Rattus norvegicus: one gene and its partner. The protein of the gene in region 1 interacts with the protein of each later gene in a biochemical or structural test. Links are inferred from orthologs where the notes say so. Each region holds a gene or a part of one and is shown on either strand. Other genes may lie near its edges.

Region 1 (3,816 bases):
AGTGTCAGATGTCAGATGCCTGTGTGCCACAGGAATGACCCACAAGAGCCTGCCTTCTATAGGGTCTGATGATAACAAGAACCTCTCCTGTCGAGGTCTGGCCTCTCTTGCCTAACCAGCAGCCCAATCCTGGGCAAGTGCTCTTGACTCCCACTCTGTATAAGGAACAGAGTGCTGGCTCTGATGCCCAGGGGTGTCTTTTGGAGGGGATGTGCAGTGGTCTCTACCTGTCTTCACCTTTTTCTCTTTCTCTCTTTGCTTGCTGCTGGTAGCTGGACCCTGTGGCCGCCTCTCCTGCCCACAGCCAGGTAGGGTGCTCCTGCCCCACCCAGGAGCCCTCTGCTTTCTCCAGTGACAACCCACCACCCCCACCCTACACCTGGGCTGGCGTCTGTGCTCGGGCCTCCTGCTGGAGTGTAAGGCCTCGTTCCCTCTAGGTTCCCACTTTATATTGGGGTACCCAGGGGAGCTGAGATGGTGCAGGTGTGGCCCTTGGGGAACTTCATGGCCCCAGCTTTGCCTCTCAGCCACTGGAGCCCAGATGTTGCCACCCTGATCACTCTCTGGAGGAAAGCACTAGAAAGACCTTTCTTCCTCCCTTAGCCCCAGCCTGAAGATGAGACAGACGGTCTCTGTCTCCACCTCCTGGTCAGTGTGAGAAACTTGTTCTCAGACAGGCCATGACCCTTTGATGTCACCAGAACACAAGTTTCACTTGGTTCACACGTGATTTGGAAAAGACAAAACACTGGTGATTTAGTTTTTGCGAGTCTCTCTCTCTAACCCCGGCTCTTCTAGGACTTTTTATATAGACCAGGCTGGCCTTGAACTCAGAGCCTGCGTCTGTTTCCTGAGTGCCGGGATCAAAGGCCTGCACCAATACTTCTTGTTCAATCCTTTAAATATTAAAAGATTAAAAGCCCAGCATTTAAAATTTTTCTCACTTAGACAAACCAAGCATTGACAGCTTTGTTATGATCAACCTATTGATCTCCCTCCTTTTCAATCTAAGAAACGTGATAAAGATCACACAATATTTCTGCCTTCATGTTTCTTGCCATCTTCTGATCCCTCACCCAGGGTTAAGTGTCATAGGATGGGGTCTGTGCCTCAGTTTGGGGTCTCATGAGAAAGGGACACACCTAGGGTGAGAATCTGCATGTTGCCATCTGGGGAGAGTGTTGGAGTCAGTGTTAAGCCTGAGGGCGTCTGCTTCTGGGGTGGCCAGCCTCCCCCAAGGTGCCATGACATTGCTGACGTTTTGCAGCCATTGTATCAAGGTCCCTTTTTGGTCCCAGTTCCTCTGGTGCCACTGTTCCCTAGTTCAGGTGTTCTTATTAGAGGGTGTCAGATCTGATAGCCCCACATCTCTGCTATGAATGCCTGTTTTGATCAGTGATCTCTGACCTCTGTTATCAATGTCTATTTTGATCTCTGACCTCTGGGGCTTCCCAGTCCTTTCACTCCTACTTCTGTGCTCCCTGTCTTTGACCAGTCAGCTCTGTCTCGTGCCCATGCCACCCTGTGACCGCATGTGACACTAATATGCCCACTAGGCTTGTGCAGCTACAACCTTCCAAGTCCACAAAGGGGACTTGGAGGAGAAGGGCACTATGTCCTTGCCAACATAGAGCGTCTTCAGGTGAGAGCCCAGGGCCTCTATTGTTCCCTAATGCAGAATCCATCTCGGGAGAAGAGCCCTTTCTTTTGGCATAAAAGAACCCATGACTGGGGCCAGAGTTCAGGGCTGAGTCAGGATGCAGATCTCATAGGCTCCCAGGGAGGAAGGAAAGAGGCAGCTGGAGATGGAGCCCGGTGACTCGCTTCCCTGGTATCTGTTCTCCCCTGGCCACAGTGAACCCTCAAAGTTACAGTCCCTGGTCTCACTGTCTTTGTTCTCAGCGCTCCTGGCTTCCTACCCTCCTTTCCTAACCCCTCTCACACTCCCGTGTCCTGTGTCTCCTGCCTGACTTTTCCACTTGCCCATTGGCTCAACTTGAAGCCCTTTCCTCCCTTGTCTCCTCATTCTTGCTGTCCTTGTCTCTTACCTTTTAAAGCAATGTCTTTTGTCCCTCCCTTCCCTCTGACAGGCCAAGACAGAAGAGCAGATTGCCGCTGAAGAGGCCTGGTATGAGACGGAGAAGGTGTGGCTGGTCCATAGAGATGGATTCTCCTTAGGTGAGTCTTTGAACATGGGCTACAGATGGTGAGACTTGAGTCAGAACTGGCATGAGGGAATGCCTCTGCTTCTGGTAAGGCCTGGTCGGCAGCAAGGAGAGGCTGGTGAGCCAGTGGGGAAGAAAGCAGGACGGACAAGAAGGCCTAAGTAGAGTAGTAGAACCTCCCAGGCCCAAGTCCAACTACCCCTGCTCTGCAGCCAGCCAGCTCAAGTCGGAGGAGCTCAGCCTACCCGAGGGGAAGGTGCGCGTGAAGCTAGACCACGATGGAGCCATCCTGGATGTGGATGAAGATGACGTAGAGAAGGTTGGAAGGAGCTTCTGGCAAGGGAGGTCACAGGGAGGGCAGGCCTGTCCCCTGCGTTGGAGATGAGATCGGTGTCTTCACTGTCTGTCTTCCCAGGCTAACGCTCCCTCATGTGACCGACTAGAAGATCTGGCCTCCTTGGTGTACCTCAACGAGTCTAGCGTCCTGCATACACTGCGCCAGCGCTATGGGGCCAGCCTGCTACACACCTATGCCGGCCCTAGCCTGCTTGTCCTTAGCCCCCGAGGGGCTCCTGCTGTGTATTCAGAGAAGGTGTGCCTTCCTCTGGACCCACCCACCCACCTGCCTCATCCTACCTTTTCTGGTTCTCTACTCTTCCTCTTTATATCCACTGAGTTCATAGTTGACCCCGGTAGAGGAGTCAAAGGGTAGGGCCAGAGGGATATCCTGCAGTCTTATAGAGTTACAGACTCTATTTCCATGCATGGCCTGGCCCTCAAAATACCTGGGCATCTCTAGAGCGACATTACGGAAACATGTAAGCCCTAGAGAAGAGCAGGTGGGTCCGGCCGTAAGAGCCTCTTCCTTCCCTCTATGCCTCTCCTGTTCTAGGTGATGCACATGTTCAAGGGGTGTCGGCGGGAGGACATGGCACCCCACATCTATGCTGTAGCCCAGACTGCATATAGGGCCATGTTGATGAGTCGTCAGGACCAGTCCATCGTCCTTCTGGGCAGTAGTGGCAGTGGCAAGACCACCAGCTCTCAGCATCTGGTGCAGTATCTGGCTACCATTGCCGGCACCAGCGGGAACAAGGTGTTCTCAGGTGAGGCAGGCAGCAGGGAAAACAGACAAGAGAAGTGGGGGCGGGGGGGGGGGAGAACAATCCACCAAGATGCTGCCTCTTTCCCCCTGGGTTCCTTATCCCTGAATAACTCCTCAACCCCAATCCCTGGGCAGCTGTTTCTGGGGCATTCTGGAGCCCATGCCTTGGGGATAAGCTGTTCTTGGTTTTCCTGATGTCCCCTGGGTCTGTGCTCTGCAGTGGAGAAGTGGCAGGCTCTGGCCACCCTCCTGGAAGCCTTTGGGAACAGCCCTACCATCATGAACGGCAGTGCCACCCGCTTCTCCCAGATCCTCTCCCTGGACTTTGACCAAGCTGGCCAGGTGGCTTCAGCCTCCGTCCAGGTAAGGGGCACTGCCAAGGCCTCGAAAGCAAAGATGGAGCCCTGGGTCTTACTCTCCAGCGCCTCATTGACTTGGGATTCTGATAATGAAATGAATCTCATGACACAGGCAGTGTTGGCCTAGACTGTCCCCATTCTGCCCCCCCAAGTCTCCTGTCCGACTCTTTTTCCCCTCTCCACTGTA
Region 2 (3,816 bases), on another chromosome or scaffold:
TCTGTTGAATGGTTCGGGCTATTTTTGATCCATGCCATGTTTGGATTCTTGTTTGTTGGGGATAGTACTTAACCTGCTTTATCTTGGAATGTCTGTCCTTCCTGATAAAACTTTTTTAGAACATAGGGACTTTTTTTTTCTTGTTAAACCACACTTTTGAAATAATGCCTCAGATTGTTCTGAGGTGGTCTTCTGATTGAAGGTTGGGGATGTCGTCCGTGCCATGAGTGAGGTGAAGGACACTATCTGTAGCCACTGAGCCTTTTGCTTTGTTTTGCTTCCAGGAGTAGTAAGAGTTGGGTACTACCTGGATGCATTATTTATGTATTTATTTATTTTTTATTCTCTCAGAGCTGTGTATACAAACACAGCTAGTTAGTTCTACCTCTTGAACTAAAAATGTAGCTGCTTGGTACTGCCAGTTTTTATTAGTCTTTCCCATAGATTTTAACTACCTTATTAAAAGTGGCTGACTTTGCTAGATAGGAGAGATTTTTGCTGGGATACACATAAAAATGCTGTGAGTATGTAGTCCTCTAGTAGGCTCTTGTACTAATTTCTTTTAGAGAAACAAGGCCAAGTTTTTCTCTACCTCCTGACTCAGCAGTTTCCCTGCTAACTTGTTTATACCATACTCTGCCATGGATTCACTGGAGAACCAGGCTGGCCGACGTTGATCGCAGTCACTTGGTACAGTCCTGGTCTACTTTGCCTCTAAGATACTTAATCCCCTGTAGCATTGTTATCTGGTCAGTTCTCTCTCTCTCTCTCTGTCTCTCTCTCTCTGTCTCTCTCTCTCTCTCTCTCACACACACACACACACACAGACACAGACACAGACACAGACACACACACACACACCAGTTCTTTTGGGTCAGTTTTCCTCAGCTTAAAAACAAAACCTCAACAACAAAAACTTTCTCTGATAATTCTTTTTTTTTTTTCTCTCTTTTTTTTTTTCGGAGCTGGGGACCGAACCCAGGGCCTTGCCAGGGCCTTGCTCTTGCTAGGCAAGCGCTCTACCACTGAGCTAAATCCCCAACCCCTCTCTGATAATTCTTGATCATGCTTTTGTAAACTCATGATATGAATTTTACTAGGAGGTTATCAAAACACTGGACTACTCTGTTGCTTGCTGCGTCTCTTTGCTTTATCTATCTTGTCTGTTTCTCATAAGTCCCAGAAACCGTGGCACAAATTTTTTTATCCCCCTTCGGAGCTGAGGACCGAACCCAGGGCCTTGCCATGCTAGGCAAGTGCTCTACCACTGAGCTAAATCCCCCAGCCCCAGCACAAATTTTTTTAAATCTTTTTTTCCTCATCTATTTTGCACGTGAGTTACTCAGTTTTTCACTAAATATAACTCTGAACTCTGTAGTAAAGACCTTGTTTTGCCCACACATCTCTGGTTGACGCATGACATGAGAACAGTTGAGACATTTGTATTTAATCCCTCTTCTATCTGTCATCAAAGATAAACTGCTAAACTCTGTCCAGGTGGATTTTCAGACTTGTACGGCTAACCATACCCATTTTACTTTATGAAGTGTATATTTTGTCTACATTTTGGTGTTTTGAGTTGGAACCACATTTGTGTGTTCAGGCCCCTGAGAAACATAGAGCTGTAACTTAACTTCATGTGGAATCAATTCCCAGGCTTCCCACATCTTTAATTATTCCAGATCTTAATTCCCTTTATGACTGGTTGCTTATTCCCTCTGACTCATTGCTTAGTCTGACAATCTTCATTTTAGCAAATCTCAAAACTAGTCTACTTCCTTGATTTCACATTGAAATCGGCCTTTTTGATGAAAAAGAAACCTTTTTTAAAAATTTTATAAGTACACTGTAGCTATCTTCAGACACATCAGAAGAGGGCATTAGAACCCATTATAGATGTTTATGAGCCACCATATGGTCGCCCCAAAAGAAACCTTTTTTTAGACAGGATCTTTTTGTTATGTGCTTCTGGTTATCCTGGATCTCACTGTGTAGAGACCATGTGTATCTATCACAGATATTTACCTGCCTCTGCCTCCTGGGTGCTGAAATTAATAACCATGCCTGACAAAACTAGTTTTGTTTATTCCCTTTAGTTTTCTTTAAATGATCTCCTGCCAAAAGCTCTTATTAAAAGTGGTATTTTGAACTAGAGAGAAGTCACTGACTGCTCTTCCATAGGACCCGGATTTGATTTCCAGCACCCATTATGGCAGCTCACAACTGTCTGTAACTCCACACACAGAGAGATATAGTAAATATATAGCCAAAACACCAATGCACATAAAATAAAAATAAATAATTTTAAAAAGTGGTATCTTGGGAGTTGCACTAAAGTTCCTGCATCATTAGTGAAGTCCATGAGCTCTAGTGGTCAGTCGTCCTCTTAAATATGGGCTCCTCACTTTAACCTGGGTGAATTCCAGGAAGCCTTCCCTATGTGGTACAGGCTGGCTGTCTTGAAGGCTGGAGGTATGAGCCACCATGCCTGGACTGAATTTTTATTTATTTAAAATTGTTAGTTTATTTTGTGTATATAAATGTGTGTTTTGTTTCTATGTATGTCTGAACTATGTGTTTGCCTAGTGCCCAAGGAGCCCAGAAGAGGGCATTGGATCTCTGGGAACTGCAGTTACAGTTTTGAGCCACCATGTGGATGCTAGGCACTCTGGTTTTATGTAGGGGCAGTTAGTACTCTTAATCTCTGAGCCATCTCTCCAGCCCTGACCTTGAACTCTTGAGCCATTAGAATGACTCCATATGCCCAGTGCTAGAATTATAGGTGTGTACTACCCTACCCAGCCTGACTTCTATACTTCGTTGTTTATCCATGTGTAAGAATGTGGTTAAAAAGACAACCCTTCCCCAGACCCCAGATTAACAACATGCTAACAGTGCATCTTAGCATTTTGTTATAAGAAGACATATGTGGCTTTGGCTAAAGATATTTTTACTTTTGACTCAAGGTAAATTAGCTGTTTTGTTTTCTTTGTTCTTTTTAAATAGGGTTACACATCATTTTGGAATGACTGTATATCATCTGGATTACGTGGCTGTATGTTAATTGAATTAGCTTTGAGAGGAAGGTTACAGTTAGAGGCTTGTGGAATGAGAAGAAAAAGTCTTTTAACAAGAAAGGTAAGAGGACTTCTGAATAATACCCTCTTTACAAGAATTGTTTTCTGTTTAAATGATGAATATTTCTAATAGCTTTACAATATTTAAATAGTTTAAAATTGTCGTTATTGGATTGCATTCTTGGTTTTTCTGTCTTTTTGCATATGCAACATGATGCTACTCACTGTTAGGATTGATGACCACTGTGCTTTAGGGAGATACCCAGTTTTATTTGCTTCTGAAAAAGTCGTAAGTTTGAAAACCTTGATATGACTTTTAAAAGAATCCTGTGGAACTGAATTACTCAGGACATTAATCTTTTTGGAAGACTGGAATTGATTTTTATTCCTCTTCCTATGGTGAAGGTGTAGGTGGGTACTTTTGTGGTAGAACAGGATATAGTTTTTGGATTTTTATCTTCAGACTTAATCTCAGAGGTTCACAGTTTCTCTTCCAGTCTGTTTTTTGCTTTGGGCATGGTATTTCAAAACCATTTTTTCTTCTGTAGTTGTATTATATTTGTAAATCTAAAAATTAGGCCAGAACCAAATATCTTGTTATTGTTTAGTTTTATTGTTCTTTTGTTTTTTGTTTTAAGACAGTCTTTGCTTTTTAACCAAGGCTGACACATGCTGGTCTTGATCTAGAGATCCTCCCACATGCACCTCCAGAGCTCTAAGATGACAAGCCCGTGCCCTC

What was found.
Region 2: the proteins of Myo18a (region 1) and Golph3 form a complex in vitro, tested with the Homo sapiens proteins (2 studies listed by IntAct). The link is inferred for Rattus norvegicus from reciprocal best matches to the Homo sapiens genes MYO18A and GOLPH3.

What each region holds. Positions count from the first base shown.
Region 1 is NC_086028.1:63,204,066-63,207,881, forward strand, and holds part of Myo18a (unconventional myosin-XVIIIa), read left to right. Parts: intron 1-272; coding exon of another isoform or gene 273-416; intron 417-2,090; coding exon 2,091-2,178; intron 2,179-2,377; coding exon 2,378-2,484; intron 2,485-2,580; coding exon 2,581-2,757; intron 2,758-3,057; coding exon 3,058-3,271; intron 3,272-3,490; coding exon 3,491-3,633; intron 3,634-3,816.
Region 2 is NC_086020.1:63,088,377-63,092,192, forward strand, and holds part of Golph3 (Golgi phosphoprotein 3), read left to right. Parts: intron 1-3,006; coding exon 3,007-3,138; intron 3,139-3,816. UniProt on the Homo sapiens protein: Phosphatidylinositol-4-phosphate-binding protein that links Golgi membranes to the cytoskeleton and may participate in the tensile force required for vesicle budding from the Golgi.